3 linked regions of the Callithrix jacchus genome follow. The protein of the gene in region 3 binds, or shares a complex with, the protein of the main gene of each other region. Links are inferred from orthologs where the notes say so. Each region holds a gene or a part of one and is shown on either strand. Other genes may lie near its edges.

The links. The genes of interacting proteins can lie anywhere in the genome.
Region 1: the proteins of MAP2K1 (region 3) and KSR1 are in contact, whole or in part, in a crystal structure (PDB 9AXH), measured with the Homo sapiens proteins. The link is inferred for Callithrix jacchus from reciprocal best matches to the Homo sapiens genes MAP2K1 and KSR1. Residues at the interface, in NP_002746.1 of Homo sapiens: Asp217, Ala220, Asn221, Ser222, Phe223, Val224, Gly225, Thr226, Arg227, Ser228, Met230, Arg234, Leu235, Gln236, Gly237, Met308, Ala309, Ile310, Phe311, Leu314, Asp315, Val318, Asn319; in XP_011523731.1 of Homo sapiens: Asn767, Gln768, Leu769, Lys770, Leu771, Ser772, His773, Leu776, Val784, Arg785, Met787, Thr788, Pro789, Asn823, Gln824, Ala825, Ala826, Glu827, Ala828, Ser829, Ile830, Trp831, Gln832, Gly834, Ser835.
Region 2: the proteins of MAP2K1 (region 3) and KSR2 are in contact, whole or in part, in a crystal structure (PDB 7UMB), measured with the Homo sapiens proteins. The link is inferred for Callithrix jacchus from reciprocal best matches to the Homo sapiens genes MAP2K1 and KSR2. Residues at the interface, in NP_002746.1 of Homo sapiens: Val81, Glu102, Met219, Ala220, Asn221, Ser222, Phe223, Val224, Gly225, Thr226, Arg227, Ser228, Met230, Arg234, Leu235, Gln236, Gly237, Met308, Ala309, Ile310, Phe311, Glu312, Leu314, Asp315, Val318, Asn319; in NP_775869.4 of Homo sapiens: Lys674, Arg818, Asp820, Lys821, Leu822, Arg823, Ile824, Gln825, Asn826, Ile837, Arg838, Gln839, Leu840, Ser841, Pro842, Gln877, Pro878, Ala879, Glu880, Ala881, Ile883, Trp884, Gln885, Gly887, Thr888, Met890.

Annotation. Positions count from the first base shown.
Region 1 is NC_133506.1:105,819,647-105,827,149, reverse strand, and holds part of KSR1 (kinase suppressor of Ras 1), read left to right. Parts: intron 1-550; coding exon 551-930; intron 931-3,100; coding exon 3,101-3,197; intron 3,198-4,382; coding exon 4,383-4,516; intron 4,517-5,248; coding exon 5,249-5,380; intron 5,381-6,621; coding exon 6,622-6,757; intron 6,758-7,503.
Region 2 is NC_133510.1:120,567,197-120,574,699, reverse strand, and holds part of KSR2 (kinase suppressor of Ras 2), read left to right. Parts: intron 1-309; coding exon 310-358; intron 359-2,212; coding exon 2,213-2,580; intron 2,581-7,503. UniProt on the Homo sapiens protein: Location-regulated scaffold connecting MEK to RAF. Has very low protein kinase activity and can phosphorylate MAP2K1 at several Ser and Thr residues with very low efficiency (in vitro).
Region 3 is NC_133509.1:13,471,857-13,479,359, forward strand, and holds part of MAP2K1 (dual specificity mitogen-activated protein kinase kinase 1), read left to right. Parts: intron 1-4,426; coding exon 4,427-4,637; intron 4,638-5,847; coding exon 5,848-5,994; intron 5,995-7,503. UniProt on the Homo sapiens protein: Dual specificity protein kinase which acts as an essential component of the MAP kinase signal transduction pathway.

The sequences.
Region 1 (7,503 bases), on a different chromosome or scaffold from region 3:
GACTGTCATGGAGCAAGCTTGTCCAAGCTCTGTCTTCCCCACGCTCCCCAGGTGATTGTAGCCAGCCCAGAGAGGTTAAGAAATTACATAAGTGAACCACTGCCTTGAACCTTGAACATGAGTGTCAACTGAGCCTGGATCCCCTCCATTGCATTATGGCTTGGAGAATGTTAACAGACTGATTTACTCCTGCCCAGGGAGAATCAGAAACTCTGTTTAAACAAGAGTTCCAGAAGGATGGGTGTAGTGAAATTCTTCTATGCCAGGGCTGCTCTTGCTCTTCCCTGGACAATTAGATGTTGCTCACAGGTAGGTCTTGGAGTATTAGCCAGACAAAGGGCCTCAGTTCGCTGGGGCCAACTGCCACATATTAAGGATGAGGACACTGAGGTCCAGTGATGCTAAGTGAGCCGCCCGCTGTCCACAGCAGCTGGGTGCCCTGGCAGGAAGCCTCTCTCCTCCCTTACCCGGCAGTGGCTCCAGGAGAGGGAAGAGAAGTCACGGAGCCCAGATCTTCTGCCCATGCCTGTTCTCCCTGCTCTCCTTTCAGGCTGAGGAGCCAGAGGCTGGCAAGTCAGAGGCAGAAGACGACGAGGACGAGGTGGACGACTTGCCGAGCTCTCGCCGGCCCTGGCGGGGCCCCATCTCTCGTAAGGCCAGCCAGACCAGTGTGTACCTGCAGGAGTGGGACATCCCCTTCGAGCAGGTAGAGCTGGGCGAGCCCATCGGGCAGGGCCGCTGGGGCCGGGTGCACCGCGGCCGCTGGCATGGCGAGGTGGCCATTCGCCTGCTGGAGATGGATGGCCACAACCAGGACCACCTGAAGCTCTTCAAGAAAGAGGTGATGAACTACCGGCAGACACGGCACGAGAACGTGGTGCTCTTCATGGGGGCCTGCATGAACCCACCCCACCTGGCCATCATCACCAGGTAACCCAGCCCCAGGCCCTCATGCTGGGTGGCCGACTCAGCCTCCCCCTTCCCAGGGAGCCACGTTGTTTGGATGCCCTCGAAGGTGTGGAAGTTCTAATAGAGGTACAAGGAAGAAAACCAAAAATGGGATGTAACTTCCTACTCACATAACCTCACTGACACTAAAAAATAAATAAATACGGGCTGGTGCAGTGACTCATGCCTATAATCACAACACTTTGGGAGGCCAAGGTGGAAGGATTGCTTGGGGCCCAGTAGCTTGAGACCAGCCTGGGCAACATAGTGAAATGCTATCACAAAAAATACAAAAAAATTAGCTGGGCCTGGTGGCAGGTACCTGTGGTCTCAGTTACTGGGGAGGCTGAGGCAGAAGGATCACTTGAGCCCAGGAGATCCAGGCTGCAGCAAGCCAAGATCATGCCACTGCACTCCAGCCTGGGTGACAGAGTGAGACCTTTCTAAGGTTATAGAAAAACAAATGTCCATCAAAGATACAGAGTGAAAGCCAGTCATCTCCCACTGCATCTGAGCGCTTCTCCCCAAAGTCAGAGACACTATAAACAGTTAACATCCCTTCTGTTAAAATGAAGACATTAGCATATACTCACATTTTTAAACTGTTTATTGCTTCTTATAAAAATGCAAAGGAGAGATCATGCTGGTTCATGCCTTGCCTTCTGCACTCAATAACGGGTCTGAGGTCTGCTCTCTTCTAACACATGCATGGTATCCCCATCACAGAGGCGGAACCTGGTGGTGTGCTGGTAAATGTGTATCAACCAGTTTTGGGTCAGTAGGGAGGGTAGCCCTAATTTGTTACATCCATCACATCCTGTGGTATAAATATTCTCACCATGGTCAATTTCAGACTGCTAGCATGACCTCCCTGGAGTGCAGAAGAATTGGAATGAGTCATGTAACACTCATGAGCTGACCACTGGTGGTCCCATAATTTATTTACAGAGCAAGACTCTGTCTCCAAAATTAATAAAAACCAAAACAGGTAATTAATTAAAGAAACACAAGACAGGGTCTTGTTCTGTCACCCAGGCTGGAGTGCAGTGGTGCAATCTTGGCTCACTGCAAGCTCCACCTCCTGAGCTCAAGCAGTTCTCCTGCCTCAGCCTCCCAAGTACCTGAGATTACAGGTGCACACCACCACTCCCAACTAATTTTTGCATTTTTAGTGGAGAGGGGCTTTCACCATGTTGGCTGGGCTGGTCTCAAACTCCTGACCTCAGGTGATCCGCCCACCTCAGCCTCCCAGAGTGCTGGGATTACAGGTGTGAGCCACTGTCACCTGCCTGAAACAGGAAAACATTCATTAACAAAACAATCTTACTTTGTTTAGAATACACAGATAAGGAAATCACCAATACTCTTTACCCCTCACCCAGTTTTCTTTTTTTTCTTTTTCTTTTTTTTTTTTGAGGAGGAGTCTCGCTCTGTGCTAGGATTACAGGCATGAGCTGCTGCTCCCAGCCCCTCCCCCAGTTTTCAAAGGCTCTGAGACTCCAGAATATTTTTCTAAAATCATAGTCCTTTCCTAAGATAGCTCCCCTGGAACAGGGGAGTGACCCCACATTCTCCCTCCTTGCCCTAGGTTTTAGGAGGTGACGCAGGTGGGGACCCCAGAACTCGGGCTTCTTTTCCAATAGTCACTGTGCCCTAACATCTCCCCTACCCCTTTCCCTCCTTGCACACTCCTTTATTGTTATAAAAATCCCATGATCAAGAAAAAAATGAAAACTGTAATGAGACTCTAGACAGTGATCTCCAGTGCCTTGATGTTGCCTGGTGATTGCCTTAAAAGGCCAAGTTCTTCCCCATCAGAGTGATCCTGCCTTGAACCCACCAAGCATGGCTACTCTGAGTTCCTGGGAGCTTTGATGCGCTGTTTCCTGTTGTAGGACAGGCAGGCACTGGCTCTCAGGGAATGGGGTTTGTGTGCGTGTACGTGCGTGGCGTCATATGTGTTTCTGCATGTTCAAGCTAGACCCCAGCAGCCAACGGCTGGGTTAAAGAAGATTTGGCTCACAGTTAAGGGGGTGGAGAGAGTCCTTGCAGGCAGGCAGTCAGGTACAGTTCTCCCCATGGGCTCCACCAGGGACAGGGTCAGGCTGCACCAGCCCGGGACCTGTGCTTGATCCACCACCACCCTCAACAGCTTTTGCAAGGGGCGGACATTGCACTCGTTTGTGAGGGACCCCAAGACGTCTCTGGACATCAACAAGACAAGGCAGATCGCTCAGGAGATCATCAAGGTGAGGGGGTGTCTGGCTGTTGGGGGGTGTGTTTCTGGCCAGTTCCAGGGCTCTCGGCTGTTCTCCCACTCTGTCAGCCCCCGTCAAGTTAGTTTGGCAGCTTTGCCTCTCCCTCTAGCTCAGGCTTCTCAAGGGTGGGACCCTGTCTCCTCCTCCCTGTCTCGTTCACTCACAGCTGGGAGCTGACCATCTATATGATCAGCCTTGATGGAATTGACTTGTTTGGGAAGGAACTTGGCAGGCCTTAGAGACAGTTTCAATCCTGGTCACACCCGCTGTGTGAGTCTGGGCAGGTTGTTTAGCCTCTCTGAGCCTCAGTTTTCTCTCCTTTAAAATGGGGATCCTCATATAGCCTCCTCTCTGGATTGATGTTAGGTTAAAAATGCAATAATCTATGCATTGGGGTGCACAGGAGCCCTGGGTCTGGTGTTTGAAGAAGCTTGACCTTGGTTGAGATCATGCCTGTGTCGGGTCACCCACGTTCCATGTACCTGCCTCATCAGTGCTCAGTTCAAATAGAGCATTGGTTAGAAATCACCCACTGCCACCTTTCACTTGGTAGATAAGAAACCAGGCTTCAGAGGCGTTGAGCACTGTGTCCACAGCCACAGAGTGAGTGAGACTCTGAGCTGAGATGGAATTCAAACCCCAGATTTCAGTTTTAGTCCAGGGCTCCTTCTACAGCTCAGATATTAGGAACATCCCAAGTTGGGAACCCCTCTGTGGGAATGCCTCTCTGTTCCCCTGCCCTGAGCCCTGGCCCTGCCTGAGAGTGGAGACCAGTGATGCATATCCTGACAGAAAACCCCAGCTCCTTTAGGCCCTTCACGACTTAACACAGAAAATCTCACTGTTCCTGACCCCCCTGGCTCCCTGCCCTTCACCCTGTTCATACCCCCTACCTTATCCAAGGTTAAGGTGGCTATTTGGAAGCATGGTAACATTAAAAGAGCATGGACCCATCTGGGGTCAGATCTCAGCTCTGCTCCTTCACTGCTGTGTGCCTTGGGACAAGTGACTTTCCTTCTCTGAACCTCGCTGTATTCTGTAAAATGGGGACAGTATACTGCATGGAATGGTGAAGATCAAATGAGGGGTTTTGGGTAGAGCATCCAGCCCAGGGTGGCAGCTCCGTCATCACCACACATCTTCACTCCTCCTGATCTGGGGCTCACTGTCCTCCAGGGCATGGGGTATCTTCACGCTAAGGGCATCGTACACAAAGACCTCAAATCCAAGAACGTCTTCTATGACAACGGCAAGGTGGTCATCACAGACTTCGGGCTGTTCGGGATCTCGGGCGTGGTCCGAGAGGGACGGTGAGTGGGTCTTGGGTGTCTGGGTGGGACGGGGATGCTGGGTGGGGAAGGGCAGGCCTGAGGTCTGGGCCCTTTACTGTTTGTTGCTGAGCTGCAGCTCTCCCTGCAGAAGTTCAGGTCGCTTTGGTCCTGCTCTTGTAGTTCTGGTTCAGAATCAGATTTGGGTCATGTTTGGATTCTCAGGCTGGCTTCCTGGAGAACAGGTCACCACACTCATATTTGCCCTGGCTGTTCACCAGCTTGGCCAAGGACCCAGGATTCATTTCCCCACGATGAGGAAGAGCGTCATTTTATTTCCGCAGATCTTGAAGGGGTCGGGGTGGGGAGAAAGGACCCTCCCCTGGTATCTGGGGAACCCTGAAAGGGAACATGGCAGTGAGGCTGCAGGACCTGTCCCAGGCAGGTTTGAGATCCACAGGCAGATCGGGGTTCCTGGTTAGAGCAGTGCCCCATTCTCCTAGCAGAGAACTGCGCACCTTCACAGGCTCCTCACTGTCAATATGTATCCGTTTTTGCCCCACTTTTCTAGAAACACCCGGTCATGACTCATTTGTAGAATTCCTCAAAAGCACCGGTGCCTTTCCCAAGTGCGGGGTCAGCGTGCTGGCTCTGGGTGTGTTCTCTAAGCTGTGTGTGGGTGCTCTACTGGCCCTGGGACAGACCTGAGCCAGGCAGGCCTCTTGGCTGCTTGCTGAAATGCCTGTGTCCCTGCCCTGACTTCCTGGTCTCCAGGCGTGAGAACCAGCTGAAGCTGTCCCACGACTGGCTGTGCTATCTGGCCCCAGAGATCGTGCGTGAGATGACCCCTGGGAAGGACGAGGATCAGCTCCCATTCTCCAAAGCTGCTGACGTCTATGCATTTGGGTGAGTAGGGCCCTGGTGGCCATCCGTGGCAGAGGGAGGCAGGCTTTTAAGTGTTGAAAACCCAGACTTTGGAGTAAAACTCCACCTGGTCTTGAGTCTTGGCTCTGCTACTTGCTGGGTGACCACATCCTTGACCTTCTGCCTCCCCGTGAGTAAGATGCAGAGAAGAATAGCTCCTCCCCACAAGGTCATTTCCTGAGGACTAAGGTAGGTCATTGCCTTCCATGCTTAACACTGGCCGTCAGCCCCACCCAGCTGATCTGCAAGGACGCTCGCCAGAGCTGACGGAGAACTGTCCCTCCCAGGCTGGGGGAGGTGGGCGTCCTGCCAGCCAGGCTCTGGTACCCCACAGAGAGCTGGGTGCTGACCAGTAGCAATGTAATGTGAGCCCAATATAGAAGCTAAAGTTTTCTAATAGCCACATTAAAAAAAGAGATGGGCGAAATTAGTTTCCCCTGTTTATATTTTATATATTATAAAATGATATATTTTATTTAACTCAGCATATCCAAAATATTATTTCAACATGTAATCAACATACAAATTAATATGGAATATGGTATTTTATGTTCTTTTTTCCTACTAGTCTTTAAACTCTGGTGTGTGTTAACTGCCCAGATTACCCCTCCATTCAACTGTGTACATTTCATCCAGCCAATAGCCCCCATATGGCAAGAGGTTCCCCTACTGGACAGTGTGGATCTGATGGAGAAAGGCCCATCCTAAGTCGAGACAGCCAAGGGGACGTGGAGAAGCTAAGCAAGGCTCACCGCCCCAGTCCCCTGTGCTGTCTCTGGGTGTCCTTCCCAGTGGGGTGGCCTTGGCACCATCCTTCTTCCCTGACCTTTAACTGTATCCTTTTCTGAGCACGCATGTGTGCCAGGTGCTGGGCTTGGCACTTCAGTACTCCTCAAACAACCCTGTGACAAGAGGCATCAGCCCCACTGAGGTGAAGCCGTTTTACCAGGAGCCAGTAGAAAGTGGCAGAGCTGGGTTGTGCTGAGGTCGGAATGACCACCCATGCCGTCTCAGACTTCCCACCGCATGACAGCACAGGGCCCAGGTCCTCCAAGGCTGGGAGGAGCCTCCAGGAGGCCATCGTCGCATCCCCTGAAGCCAAATGAGTGAGGAAGGTTAGAGAAGTGTCCTGATCCTCTGGCTGGGTGATGGCTGCAAGAGCCCCTGCATGTGAGCTGGGCAGAGCGGCCCCAGAGCTCATGGCCACGGCTGGGTCTCCACAGGACTGTCTGGTATGAGCTGCAAGCGAGAGATTGGCCCTTGAAGAACCAAGCTGCGGAGGCATCCATCTGGCAGATTGGAAGCGGGGAAGGAATGAAGCGTGTCCTGGCCTCTGTCAGCCTGGGGAAGGAAGTCAGTGTGAGTAGCCCCTGCCTGGGAGGGGCAGTAGGACTGGGGGTCCTTCATTCGAACCGCCCTTCATTCACCCACCTGAGAAGTGGGGTTGGTGAGGGGCTCTGCCACCTGCAGGTGTCTAGCTAGAGATGACAACGACACGCACTGCTGGGGGTGGGAAGGAACGGGGGGCGTAAATAAGAAAATATCTGTCTACACCCACCATCACCTTTTTCATTCCTTTCGGTGTTTTTTCTTTTCCTTAAAGATAATGGTTTTCAATGATTTATAAGATGAGAAGAAAGTAAAGCCCCATGTTATTTATTTATTTCTCCACATGCAGCCTTACAGTTATACCTGAAAAAGCCCCATGTTATTTACATGAAGGAAGATCTTTTTTAAAATCACTGCTCAAACTACAAATAGTTGTGTTACGCTGTGGTATTAAATCTTTCCCCATAATGTTTTTCTTGACGGTTAAGAACAAATCGAAGTTTCCGCAGCAAACTTGTTTTCAAAAAACCGAGTCTTAATTATGGTTGCTGACTTCTCGTATCTGCGTGGCTTCTTCTTAACGGTTTCTCTGTGTTTGTAAGTTTTCTCAGGCTCAATAAGAGAGAGAGGCTCTCAAAAGATGTTTATTTGGAACTAGAGCACTGCACTGGGAATATGCGTGCCGTGGTAAATGGCTTATTCCGGGAGGCAAAGGGAAAAGTGAAGAGGATTACATAATTGTTTTGAAGTATTTAATAATTGTCCCTGGCTACAAA
Region 2 (7,503 bases), on a different chromosome or scaffold from region 3:
CTGCTACATGAGTTGAAACCGAAGCAAATAAAGAAAAATGAGCCCTGAGCAGCCCGGAAAATCAACTTAAAACAATGTCCTTGTGTACTGTTTTGTGTGTGTGTATGTGTGTGTGTGTGTGTGTGTGTGTGTATGTATGTTTCTGTGGTGAGCTTATGGATTATTTCAGACACAAGTGTTAAAATGAAATGTGAGAGAAAGGCTTGGTGGTGACGACTTCCCATCTGGGGATTCTTCATACATAGCTAAACTCAATACACAGAGCTACCTTTTCACCTAGGGATCACATTTATTTTTCTTTCTTTACAGCTTGGAAGGAAATCCATTACTTCAAATTGAAGTGGAGCCAACGTCAGAGGTGAGAATTGGAAAGCAGTGAAACAACATTTTCCAGGGGCTGCCCAGAACTTGGCAAAGCCGACTGATGTTTTCAATGATGCAGAGGGCTTGGGGTCAGGTGGGGGCTGCGGTGGTCCTGACTGATGGATGTTCTAACTCTGGGACAATTAGCAAGTGGTGGCCCCTCCCAGTATTGAGCCGAATGGGCCATTATATGGCGGGCATCATAGAAAAGCCAGTTGTGCGGAAATTGGCAAGAGATTTGCATTCTTAGTTGAAAGATCAGCTCAGGGCCAGGTGAATACCAAGGGAGATGTGCCCCGCTGCCTTCAAAACAATAGTGAGAGGAGATGGGGGCCTCAGGGATGCCAGGCTTGGAAGTGTTGAAAATGCTCTGGGGCTTCTTCTCACCTGCCTAAGCGGCTGCAGGACTATATAAAATGCCCTGTCTGGGAACCATGGAGTTCTGATCACTCAGCTCTGTCACTGCACTGTGTCTTGCACTGAAAGGAATAGAGTCAGGGCTTCCAAGGAAAATCGTATTCCTTTCTGGGACTATTTGGTTATTGGAAAATGATCCTGGGAGAAACCAACGTCTCCTATATTGTTTCCCCTGAGTGTGCCATCAAGGGTAGCTTGTTCAGGTATTTTGGGTCAGGAAGACCTGTACCCAGTCAAGAGGCCACCTTCTCAAGCTGTTTCATCAGGTCCCAGGGTCTCTGGGAATCCCCACTGGCCAGGCACCTGCGGCTCCCACAATTCTGCAGGAGAATCGAAGAGGCAATTCACCCCCAAACACCCCCAGATATCATGCTGATACGGTAGGGTCCCTGCATCTTGAGCACTGAACTCTATTGGTAGCCACGCCCAAGTATGCCTGAGTCATGTGGGTGCACATGGTAAAAATGCAGATTCCTGGTCCCGGCCTGCTGATATTTTCATCCAATAGAGCTGGGTAGGGCCCAGGAATCTGCATTTTCTCGGGCCTCCCAGTGAGTGTTTAGTACAGGTGGTCAGGTCTGTACAAAGAACTTAACAGGTCTTCATCTCATTTAAAACCTCACACTGCCCCTGGGGCAGATTTTATTACCCCCACTTTACAATCAGGAAAGGCAGCCTCAGAGAAGTCAGGCAACTTGCTCAAGGTCACACAGAGGCCGGATTTCAGCTCACTTGGTCTGATTGTTAAGCCCATTCTGTTAACCTCTCAATCTCATGTCTCCTACCTGCTCCTGGCTGCTGTAGGAGCCTCAGACATCTAGCCTGTAGCTCTGACCTCTCCCAATTTTTAAATCATCAATTCCAAATTCCCTGGGGAAGCAAAAGGTACTCCATGTTCATGGTTGTCACGTGTTACATGCAGATGCACGACGTACCCATTGTTTTAGCAAGTCTAACCTATCGGCTTTATCACATGCACATAAGCAACTTAACCAAAAGACCTTGGAAGAATAGGAAGGGCATGAGATATTCAAGTCCAGAGACCTGGATCTTAGTTCCTCCTCTGCCTGGCTATATGACCTGGAGTGAATCCTTCCCATGGCAACATAAGGGACTTTCGGTGCTAAAACCAGGAAGATCCCAGCAAACTAGAATGGGTGATTCTCCCCTAACACTGCTCTCTGTACCTCAGTATATCCCCACTTAGCACAAGAGAGTTAGACGATCATGATCTCCCTTTTAGCACCTTTACTGTAGTGTGATTCTAGACCAGAGCTACCTGGGGAAACAGAGGGATGTATGTCTTCACCAGCTCCAAATCCATGTAGAGATGTGTCAGGATCTATGCATGCACATGGGACCCCACAGGACCACGAGGGACGCTGAGGCAGTGGCAAGCACAATTCTGACCTCTCTCCCACTTCGGCCACAGAATGAAGAGGCCCATGATGAGGCCGAGGAGTCAGAGGATGACTTTGAGGAGATGAATCTGTCCCTCCTCTCGGCCCGGAGCTTCCCACGCAAGGCCAGCCAGACCAGCATCTTCCTTCAGGAGTGGGACATCCCCTTTGAGCAGCTGGAGATCGGCGAGCTCATTGGAAAGGGCCGCTTTGGGCAAGTGTACCATGGCCGCTGGCATGGTGAGGTGGCCATCAGGCTGATTGACATTGAAAGGGACAACGAGGACCAGCTCAAGGCCTTCAAGCGGGAGGTGATGGCCTACAGGCAGACGCGGCATGAGAACGTGGTGCTTTTCATGGGCGCCTGCATGAGCCCACCTCACCTGGCCATCATCACCAGGTCAGTTCCACCTGGGCTCCCACCCAGGGATTGCCAAAGCTCTGCTTCTGGCCTGGTTGAGAAATGGTTTTCTGCTTACTTGACCACTCTGGTTAATAGACCATCTCCAGTTCCAGCATGCACAGTTCACTTACATGGTTTAAGATTTCAGATTCCAGAAAATACTTAGTTAATTTATTTGGTTTTTTTAGAGACAGGGTCTCACTCTGTTGCCCAGGCTTGCATGCAGTGGTGTGATCATAGCTTACTGCAGCCTTGAACTCCTGGGCTCAAGAGATCCTTTCCCTTCAGCCTCCCAAGTAGCTGGCACTACAGGTGTGTGCTGTCACACCTGGCTAATGTTTTAATTTTTTGGTAAAGATGGGGGTCTCGCTATGTTGCCCAGGATGGTCTCAAACTTCTAGCCTCAAGCAATCCTCCTGCCTTGGCCTCCCAATTACAGGCCCGTAAGCCACCACACCTAACCTCAGAAAATACTTTTAATGCTAAAACTCTTCAGCAAAACCAAAAAGTACTAAATGAGGAATCAGAAACATCAGGTCTAGTTCCCCCTCTAGTCCAAGTATTTGCATAACAACTTCTCAAAGAGTCACTGTCTTCATATGTGAACTGAGTAGATTTCACTAAATCGGGAGTCAGCCAACTTTTTCTGTAAAGGGCCCAATAGTAAATATTTTCAGCTTCGTGGGTCATACAGTTTCTGTAGCAGCTACTGCACTTGGCCACTGGAGTCTGAAAGCGGCCATAGACAATCTGCAAATGAAATTGCAAGGCTGTGGCCCAATAAAACTTTATTTATAAACCCAGGAAGTGGGCTGTATTTGGCCCATGGGCCGTAGTCTGCAGACCCCTGATTAAGATTTTTTTTCATTTTGAGATGGAGTTTCACTCTTGTTGCCCAGGCCGATATGGCACGAACTCAGCTCACTGCAACCTCCATCTCCCAGGTTCAGGTGATTCTTCTGCCTCAGCCTTCTGAGTAGCTGAGATTACAGCGATGCGCACCATACCTGGCTAATTTTTGTATTTTTGGTAGAGACAGGGTTTCACCATGTTGGTCAGGCTGGTCTCACACTCCTGACCTCAGGTGATCCACCTGCCTGGGCCTCCCAGAGTGCTGGGATTACAAGTGTGAGCCAAGATTCTGATAACTATTATTCTGGTTTTCATGAAAGTTGCAGAGCACATTTGCAGTCTTTACCGTTGTGGTTTGGAATATCCAGGATCTGTGGTCTATGGATACACAGAAGGGATAGTTAATAGAGAACTAACATTGTGAGAATGTTTCTGGGACTTTCTTGGACTTGCTCTCTGGCTTCTCCCAGTGACTTGAGGCTTGGGGAAAAATAGCTTTGGTTTCAATGGAACGGTTGTGAAACAATCCTTTGGTGTGTTTTTAAACTCTGGCACTGGTTCTCTTGTAACATTAGGACTGGCCTCTGCAGTGGCATTCTTAATATGACCTGTGATGCCAAGGGCCAGTTAGGAGCTCTCTCCTTCCTCTACTTAGCTTAAGCAGTGACACCCCAAATGCACAAGCCTCGCGTCTTGGCAGGCCCAAAGCAGATGCTGTGAGCTCAGAGAAGAGCTGGTGTGTCTTTGATCTCTTCCCATGTGAGACAAAACCTCCTTGAGTCCACTTATAAGAACTTGGTGATTGGTAGAAGGTGCATTATATTCTGTATCCATAGATTATGCAGACGATGCATTGACTGGAGTGACTCGTGCTTTGAATGGTAAGTGCTGGCGAAAGATTGCCGATCTGGGAATGGGCCTCCAACTCTTCTTAAATCAGGGGAAAGCTGGTGGTTCTCAACTCTGCACCAGACGGAAGTGGCTTTGAAGAAATCAGCCCAGGTAATCTTCAGGGGCTGAGCTGTTCTGAGCATAAGCTTTTGCTGAGTAACAAACTACTCCAAAACGTAGTGGTTTCTCTATGGACAGTTCTGGGCTGAGCCAGACTCAATAGCTGAGCTCTTATAGATGACTGTGGTCAGCTCTGGGTCAACAAGGGGATAATCAGTGTTAGATGCCCTCATTCATATGTCTGCTGGTTGGCAGACTGTGAGGGATAACTAGGCTATCCCTAACAGCCTAGCTCAGGCTCATTCTCCTGGCAGTCTCAGGTTTCCACGTGCAGTGAGAGGTCAAGACCCATATCTGTTGGCCAAAGCAACTCCTATGCTCCACTAGATTCAAGGCATGGAGACAGAGCCTCTACCTCTGAATGGGAAGATCTGCAATGTCCCACTGCAAGGACATGGATGCAGTGTAGGGACAATCTGGCTCTTTTTGCAGTCTACTACAGAGAGACCCTCAGCTCCCTTTCCTTCCCTTTCTTACCCAGTATATATCATCATCTTTTAGCAGCAGTCAATAGTCTATTACTTGGGATACACAAGTCTGGTTGGAAGGTGGTCTTCTCCCCACCCCTGGCCTTCTCCCCATTGCTCCCATCTTAAGCTCTTACCCCATCTTTCTCTCTGGTCAGCTCCTCACCACCCGCCTGCCTCTCTCTTCAGCATTATCTATGGAGCCTAACACCCATGACTCCCTCACCCTCTTCTCGAAGGCTAGCAAGTTGGAAACAGACAAACTCAGCAGCCATCCTTGATAACGAGTGGTCGTTATGAAAATGTGTTGCTCATCCTGCAAGCCAGCTGCATTTGCGGCCCCCTTCTATTGTGTACAAAATTCTGAGCCCCCCTCCCTAAGCACCATAACTGCCTACAGATTTCACAAATAGCCCAGCCTTTTCCTGGCACCATGATAAAGACTCTGCAGCTTTGGGACGTGTAATTGGTCTCTGAAGTGTTTTGGTATTTTGTGTGAGGATGCCAGATGAGCCCCAAAGAAGTGGCATTGATTCCATATTATTGTGTTGTTATATATTTATCTTAGGGAGGGACTCTGTGCATCCCTCTCTCCCATTCAGCCCTGTCCACTTGTTGGCTCTCCAGGTTTCTTATCTGCACGTTCAGTTTGAAACCAAATATTTGAGTAATTTGATTAATCACTTGCATTTGCACAATTGGCTGGCAGAGGTTGATGGTTGGATGATAGCCAACCAACTGGAACCATTTTGGGACCCTAGATTTATCTTACAGGGAACATAAGACCAGATAATTACCTGGCATATTCTGGATCAATCCACAATGGCGCATTCTAGCCAATTACCTAGTAATTATCATCGAAGTTAACAAGTACTTCTAAGATTAGCTTCCTTGCAATGCAGTATGTGTGGCTCTTAGGGAATGAGTAATAACAAACTAGTTACCCAATTGCTGTAGCCACAAATGCTATTAGCAGCAGGATTGCTAGATTGTTTCACGATTGAGTCATTATGGGATTATGGCAAAGCTATTCACCGTCTGCACAATCACTCGTGTTAAAAACTCCAAGTGAAATGTGAAAGCCAATAGAGTTGAGTGAAAGTGTCTCTCACCCTTCTGCCTTGCTACCTGGGGTTTCATAAGCCTTAGTTTCTCCTTCTGTAAAATGAACAGGTGGAAGCAGATATTTGTTGCAGTGTCCTTCCAACTCTGACAGTATTCTTTGCCTGTCTGATAATGAGCTGTGTTTGAGAAGCAGCTGGGAACAGGTCTTGAGCAGCGCATCTCAAAGATGGTGTACCTGGACCTTCCTACACCTGTCTTAGGAGAGGAAAGTTGTAAAAATGCAGATTCTGGAAAAAGACTGTGATGGTGACAGGCAAGGGCAAAGGGGAGAAGGTGAGGGTAGAGAAGCCGTCAGGAGCAAGACTTGGAGAAGGCAGGGTTTCTCAAGCCTGGTGGAGGAAGGGGAGCTTTTAATACAGTTAACAGTGCCTGGCCCTGCCCCAGAGCAGAGTCTCTCATCTTCAGCACTATTAATCTTTGGGGTCAGAAAAGCCTTTGTGGTGGCGGCTGTCCCATGCACTGTAGGATGTTTGGCAGCATCCCTGGCCTCTACCCACTAGATTCCAGTAGCACCAGGCACCAAGTTGTGACAACTAGAAATGCCCCTGAGACATTGCCCAGCGTGCAGGGGACTCTATCACACAGCCAGGTTTGAAGCCCTCTGTTGTAGAATCCCTGGTGAAGAGTCCTGATTTTACGCCAAAGGCAGTGAGCAGCCATTGGAGGGTTGTGGGAAGGGGTGCGGCATGGTGGTGGTGGAGGACAGCAATGAGGAAGCCTCAGAAATGAAGGGTGGGCACATAAAGGGAGATATTTTGCCCAGTGCAAAGGCAGCAACAGTTCTAGGAAATGATCCGCTTATCTGCCCTAACTTCCCATTATAATCAAAGAGCTGATGGTCTTGGTGGACACCCAGCGTCCTTCCTTTCACTCTATTTTGCTGCCCTCAGTCAGACTGGCAAACTGTGTTATAGAGATCACCCTATAGGGTTGCTGTCTTGACAGTGGGTGAAGCTCTGAACCAGCAGAAGGCAAGCCATGCATGCTAGATGGGATGGCTGAGCCTCTTTGCTGAAATCATTTCCCCGGTTCTGGGGTAGAACCAAGGCAGAGCCCTCAAAAATAAACCAAAAAAGACACAGTTGCCACCAGCCTTCAGCAAGTGCTTTGCTTCAGGCCAGGTGTGGTGAGGTTCTCTGGTTTATCCCAGTGCCCATTTTACAGGTGAGAAAACTGAGGTCAGAAAGTCAGAGGGAGCCCTTGCCCAAGTCATAGAAAAAGTAACTGGCAGAACTAGGAATAAGCAAATGTATATCTGAATACAATACTAGTCTAGTAGGTTCCTTCTTTGCCAGTGGCTGCCTTAGCTAGATCAAGGGGAATGGACCTCACCTGTGAGCAGGTCCATAGCACAGAGATTCCGCATTTTTGGTCATATCAGAATCAGCTGGAGAAATTGATGACCATTCAGGGCTGACGCCCCATCCTACTTCAATTAGCTTGGACCTCTGTATCTTTTAGTAAG
Region 3 (7,503 bases):
CTGCTCCGTGAGCGACCAGAATTTGTCTGAAAGTGTGGCGTCCTCTAGTTCTCCGCGCCTTACCTGAGAGCTGCAATCTCGGGATGTTAGCGATCAGCCATCTTGGATCGTTCTCCTTAGTTATTTTAAAAAACATTTTTTTTTTTTTTTGAGACAGAGTTTCGCTCTTGTTTCCCAGGCTGGAGTGCAATGGCGCGATCTCGGCTCACCGCAACCTCCGCCTCCTGGGTTCAGGCAATTCTCCTGCCTCAGCCTCCCGAGTAGCTGGGATTACAGGCACGCGACACCATACCCAGCTAATTTTTTGTATCTTTAGTAGAGACGGGGTTTCACCATGTTGACCAGGATGGTCTCGATCTCCCGACCTCGCGATCCACCCGCCTCGGCCTCCCAAAGTGCTGGGATTACAGGCTTGAGCCACCGCGCCCGGCCTATTTTTAAAATTTTAAGTTCAGGGGTACATGTGCAGGATGTGCAGATTTGTTAGCATAGGTTAAACGTGTGCAATGGTGGTTTTCTGCACAGATCATCCCATGACCTAGGTATTAAGCCCAGCATCTATTAGCTATTCTTCCTGATGTTCTCCCTCCTCCCCGACCACCCATCGACAGGCCCTAGTGTGTGTCATTCCCTCCCGTGTGTCCATGTGTTCTCCTCATTCAGCTCCCACTTATAAATGAGAACATGTGGTATTTGGTTTTCTGTTACTGCATTAGTTTGCTGAGCATAATGACCTCCAGCTCCACCCATGTTCCTGCAAAGGGCATTATGCTTGTTCTTTTTTATGCTGCACAGTATTCCATGATGTATAGAAGAGAAATCTGAAATGTGGCAAGGTTAAGTGACTTTCCCATCCATGGTCACTTAGCTAGTTGATGAACAATTTGGGGTAAGAATCCAGTACTCTTGAACACCAGTGATTCGTTAATTTTCCAACACTATTCCATCTCCAGTCGTCACCCATACACACCTGCCATTAGGAAGGTCTTTGCCATTTCTCTCTCTGGCCACCTTCTGAAAGCACAGATCAGAAGCCAGTTCCTTAGCTGATGGGGTGGGTGGATAAATAGCAGGGCCTAGGAGGTAGAGGAGGGAGAAAGGTAGCACAAAGCCCAGACTTAGATTTTCCTCCAGAAGGTGTAAGAATTATTTATTTCAAAGAGTCAGGAAAGTGAACAGAGTCAGCATTCCCTTTTCCTTGGCAAATGGATTGAATTTCTTGTGGCGAGTATTAGCTGCAAGGCAGTGTTAATCTGCTTCAGTAGATCCATCATCTGATTGATGTGCATGGGAGACAGGATTGTCCATGGTGCAAAGACCTCTTTGTGTAGGGCACACCACCTTTATGCATGATTGAGCCCTGGTGTGTTAAATGCCTCACACAAGGATCTTACCTACATTTGTCAGTTGCCTCCCTTGAAAGTATTGAGCTTTTTGAAGGTAGTATAGCATCATGGTTAAGGTGAGAGATTAGTTCTCTCTGCCTGAATTTGAATCCTCGCTGTGCCACTTACCAGCTGTTTGATCTTTGACATCTTAGTTCACCTGTGTGTGCTTGAGTTTGCTTATCTGTTCTAATTGGGGGTTGTGGCTTAAATGACTTAATAAATGTAAAGCACTGAGGAGAGTACACAGTGTTGTGAGGAAAGCAATTTTTCTTCCATGCAGCCCTCCTTCCCTTCCCCCATCATGCACACTCTGTATGTGTGTGTGTGTGTGTGTGTGTGTGTGTGAGTGAGAGAGAGAGAGAGAGAGAGAGAGAGAGAGAGAGAGAGAGACAGCTTTTGGAATCTGTATTTCTCACCGGCCCGCTGAGCCCTCCAAGTAGCTGTAACCTCATTGAAGTTTTACCTGTGGTGCCCATCTGCATTTGAAGTGTGTTTCTAAATGTGGTCCTCAGCAAGCTCCTTTGTGGGGAGAGCTGGGAGAAAGGAAACCAGAGAGTATGCTCTGTACACCCCCAGCCACACATGTTCTGGGTTCCCTCACTCTAGAGACTGGGGACACTGCGAGACATAGCTGAACCTTCTAGCAGGATGAAACTATTGAGTAGCTGTCTCAGTTTGCTTGGACTGCTGTGATAAAATGTCATAAAATAGGTAGCTTAAACAACAAGAATTTATTTTCTCACTGTTCTGGAGGCTGAAAGTCTTAAGAGCAGGGGGACAGCATGGTCGGGTTCTGGCGAGAGTCCTCTTCCTGGCTTGCAGACAGCTGCCTTCCCACTGTGTGCGTGCATGGCCTTTCTTTGATGTGTGCAGCTGGTGGGGGTGGGGGGTATATCAGTGAGGAAAATCAGTACCCTCAGCCTTGCTTCCTCTTTGGCTGCATGTGTGATGTTATTTGTAAGGCAGTGTCGGATCACCTTATTAGGTCTCCATTTCCTTGTCTTCTAGAGGTTTGGGATAGAGGTTGTGAAGGAAGAGCAGATTATGCTTATTCTGCCTTTTAAGCTCAGAACTGGGGTGTGTGTGTTGGCGGGAACATCCACATGATGATATATAATGAAGGCCTATCTTGTCACCTGTGTCACTGCAGCCACCCCACACAATTGTCACTGACACGCTTTGCCTCACAGGACTTCAATTTGAGACCCAGTGAAATCCAGTGAAACACACAGTGCAAACTGTCTTACCACTTTCCTGTTAACCAACTCCAGGAGTGATGAACACTTTTCAGTTCCCTGGATGGAACATGCTGAGCAATGCCCACAGCATGCTGAATGCACAGCTGGCAGGCAGCTCTCTGCCGTACCCACTCGCTTCAGCACCCACTGGCTGAATTATTTGCTTACCAAGAGCCAGCTTGTTCTCAAACGCATTTGTTCAGCTGTAGCTGGTATTGTAGTTAAATAATGTATTTAAGTATTAGATAAATTGATGAAATATAACTGCAAATGAAATGATTTTTTCCCTTTTTTTTCCCCTATGAACACCAGTTAAAAGCTGTGGAAAGACTCACAAGTCCAAGTCATTAAAACACATTACTGTCAAACTAGATGAATGTTAGGATTGGGGGAAATCATACTCTAATTTTTTTTTTTTTTTTTTTTTTAAACAATGAACAGGAATTTATTGGCTTATGGTTCTAGAAGCTGTTAAATCTAAGACTGAGGGGCCAGCATGGGTAAGGGCATTCTTGCTGTATCATCTTATGGTGGAGGGGCAAAAAGAAAGCAAGAGTGGGCTGAACTCATCCTTTTATAAGGAACCATTCCCGAGACAACAGCATGAATGGTCATAAGGGCAGTGAGCTTGACCCAAACACTTGCCATTAGGGCCAGACCTTTCAACACAGCTGCACTGGTGAGCAAGTTTTTAACACATGAGCTTTGTGGGACACATTTAAACCGTAGCATGCCTCAAGAAGGTAGAAAAAGAAATAATCCCAAAGCAAATAGAAAGAAATAAGATAAGAACAGAAATTGATATAATTGAAAAAATGAAAACAATATAGAAAATATAATATTTCTTTCTTTCCAATCTATATGACTCCTATTTCCTTTTGTTGTCTTTTTGCACTGGCTAGATCATTCAGCACTATGTCGACTTAAGTGTGGTAAGAGTGGACATCCTTGCCTTGATCTTACAGGAAAATATTCAGGCTTTCACTATTTTTTTTTCTTTTAATTGCATTTTAGGTTTTGGGGTCATACATACATAAAATTTTGTACTGTGATTACTCTGCAAGTTTCTACATTTCTAGTCAACTTAAACATCATGAATAGGAAATTGTCAACCATGTATTATGTTCTGGTCCATGTGAGAAGGGTGATGTGGACCTCTTAACCAGAGGGTCTTCTTTGGACCCTTATTCAAAGAGTCTCGCCCTATGTTAAAGAATGGATGAATGAATGAAGATTTATGTGCATTATGGAAAAATAATCATTTTAGATACATAATTTTTTATTTTTATTTTTTGCTGTGGCTTTTTTGATTAACCTGGTTACTGGACCTGGTTACATTGAAAATGAGGAGTTCTGCTGTTGTGATTCAGTTTAAAGTTGGTTTGATTTCGTTTTAGTGGATTTAGAGAATTTTATTTTGTATATGGTAAAAACAATAAAATCAACAGTAGTGGGGCTTTTTAAATTGAAGTTTTAAAGCAAATTAAGGTGGCCCATTCTGGATTTTAGTAGGTTCTTTGGTTCTTCTCATAGACTTGAAGCATATTGAGTCAGAAAGACCTGATTTTTTCATTTTATAAATGAGGAAATGGAAGCCCTGAGAGGTAAAGCGTTTTGGTGATAGTCATTAGCAGTGGCTGGAGTGAAGTGGGCAGAGCCACAGTGGGAGGGGCCTCCTCTCTAGCCTCCCACTTTAGTTCTCTGTCTGTCCCCAGAGCTGGAGCTTTCCGTGATAGGAGTGCTTTATTGGGTTGACTTCTCTGGTGATGGTATTGACTTTTACTCTCTGCTTTGTGACAGGACCAACCTGGAGGCCTTGCAGAAGAAGCTGGAGGAGCTAGAGCTTGACGAGCAGCAGCGAAAGCGCCTTGAGGCCTTTCTTACCCAGAAGCAGAAGGTGGGAGAACTGAAGGATGATGACTTTGAGAAGATCAGTGAGCTGGGGGCTGGCAATGGCGGTGTGGTTTTCAAGGTCTCCCACAAGCCTTCTGGCCTGGTCATGGCCAGAAAGGTGAGTTTGCTTTGATTAACAGGTAATTGGATTATCTCTCAGGTACCTAGAGGCCTGGGGACCAGGGTAGAAGGAAGACTGACTTTCCTCAATACCTCCTTGTGCTGTTTGAATTTCAAATGCATGTCATCTATGAGATTATGGATAAACACACTAATGACTGTGTTAGTGTATTAATCCCCATCCTGTCTGGAAAATAATAAGTGACTCTTCCTTAGCCTTCTGTGTGCTGTGGAAGGATGCCAGGGTATCTGTTTATTGCTTATCATGTGCACGAGAAGCTGCTTTCATTCACTTAGCCCCAGTGATACACAAAACATGGATTTCAAGTTGTTTCCCACTTGTGCCAGTAAATTCCCTTTATCTTCCTGCATTACAGCATCTGAACCCCCTGCCATAGCATGTACTCGTTGAGCTGGACCTCCCTTTCCTGTCTGCCTTGGTCCTCTTTTGGAACACAGCCCCCTGCTCCAGAGAGGTTGGGGTTTTTGATGTTTTTCTGCACACTGTGTTTACTCCCGTGCCCATATTTTTTTTGTGCTGTTGTTCCTTCTGCCTTTTCAAACAGTGCCCATCTTCTAGATACACCTCTTATCTAGCTTTCACCAGCTGCTCCAGCCCACACACTAGTAACAGCTGCATCCATGTTCTCTGACACTCATATCTGACATCCACCATGTGGGATTTTTTAGAAGTTCAATCTTACTATGTAACTTTTTAATGTGGCTGTCACTTGTCTCCCTAGCTGGAACAAGGGAAAATGTTAGGGTGACATAAGGTAGGACCTTAGACTTTGGCTCAGTCTCAACCACATCAGGCTCCTGAGCTCAAGGAAGAATCTCTTTGGCAGCCTAGTTTAGCATACTTGAGTTCCTCATACCCTTCTATTTCCACAACTCTTGAGTGTGAACCAAGTACTCAAGGTCAATTTCTCTTCATATTTGAGCTCCATAGTTTCTTTTGGAGTAAGCCCTTCGTTAACTTTGTTCCTGTCTTGGCTTCCAGGAGCTGAGGCACAGCTGGGACAGCCCCCAGTGCCAATGCCTGCCTTAGAACAGTGACACTCAGTTCTTGGTTCAGCAGAAACTTGTTTGTTACAACTTACCTGTTTCTCTTCCCCCTACCTTTAAGAGCTTAAACATTTAGCAAGACTACATATTTCGTCTCTCCTTTCCTCCTTTTTTCATAAAATCTCTCTTTCTTTCACCAGCTAATTCATCTGGAGATCAAACCTGCAATCCGGAACCAGATCATAAGGGAGCTGCAGGTTCTGCATGAGTGCAACTCTCCGTACATCGTGGGCTTCTACGGTGCATTCTACAGCGATGGCGAGATCAGTATCTGCATGGAGCACATGGTATGTGACACCCTCTCGGCCTCTGGAGCAATGGCTTTAAGAGTTGGGTGGCTCTGGCCTAATCTTTGGTCTGGGAGGTGACCAGCTGCCTCCATGCTGCTCCTGGGATCCACATCACTATCTAAGGCATCTGGGAAGTCTGACTGTAGGGCTTGGAATATTCACAAGACGGTAGGCCTCCTTTCTAGATCTTTGCCTCTCATCAAAGAAGTGGCAGTATTCCTGGTGGGTGTTCCTAGAGCATCTCTCTTAGTTTTTTGATTCAGATGACCCTAATATGTGATGTAAGTAAAATCTGGTAAATACAGTTTAAATCCATTTCTTCTGTACAATGTTGTATGCTAGGTGCAAGGCTCTGGGATTATGAAGATGATATAATCTACTGTAAGGGCACCTGAAGGGTTACTTTCGGTTTTTGCATGATGCTTATTAGTGGAAGGAGAGGGCAATGAAGTGAGAGGGCATTCATGGGCTAATTCATTATCTACATGTGAGCTGCCACTGATTTTACCACTGTATGCTGAAGCATGAGAATTGCTTAAACCCGGAAGGTGGAGGTTGTGTTATGAAGACTTCTGTGACCCAAAGTGTGGAGAGATTTTCTCTACACTCCAATCTACAGACACTACCTAGGTGTCCTCTTGTTCAGTTCCGACACTATCTACTGGGATATCATGTCAGATACCATGGGTTAAAGGTTAAAAAATTAGATGGACATGGTGGCGGACACCTATAATCCCAGCTACTCAAGAGGCTGAGGCAGGAGAATCTCTTGAACCCAGGAGGCAGAGGTTGCAGTGAGCTGAGATCATGCCATTACACTCCAGCAGGAGCGATAAGAGTGAAACTCTGTCTAAAAAAAAAAATTTTTTGTAAGCATATGGGAAAACTGGAAGGGAATGTACACCCATAAACCTACCACCTAGATTCTACAACTTATATTTTGATATATTTGGTTTACCACATATCCATTGTGCCAATTTTGGGGGGATGTGTGGGGTTTTGTTTTTATTTATTTTTTGAGACAGGGTCTTGCTCTGTTGCCCAGGCTGGAGTACAGTGGCACAATCTTGGCTCACTGCAACCTCTGCCTCCTGGGCCCAAGTGATCCTCCCACCTCAGCCTCTTGAGTAGCTGGGACTACAGGCACACGCCACCATGCCAGCTGATTTTTTTTTTTTTTTAATTTCACCACTATACAAAGAAGTATGATTTTTGTATTTTTAGTAGAAATGGGGTTTCACTGTGTTGCCCGTGCTGGTCTTGAACTCTTGGGCTCGAGCAATCCACCTGTTTCAGCCTCTCAAAGTGCTGGGATTACAGGTGTGAGCCACCACACCTGGCTCTGGGGATGTGTTTTAAAGTATATTTGCATCATCAGCATTGGTTGAGCCCCATCTTCTAGAGCACTCAGCCAGGGGCTGATCTTTCCTAGAAACAAGCTCTGTGTGCACTGTCCAGTCTGAATTTTGAAACCCAAGTAGGGAAATCAGTGCTCCCTGATTAGAA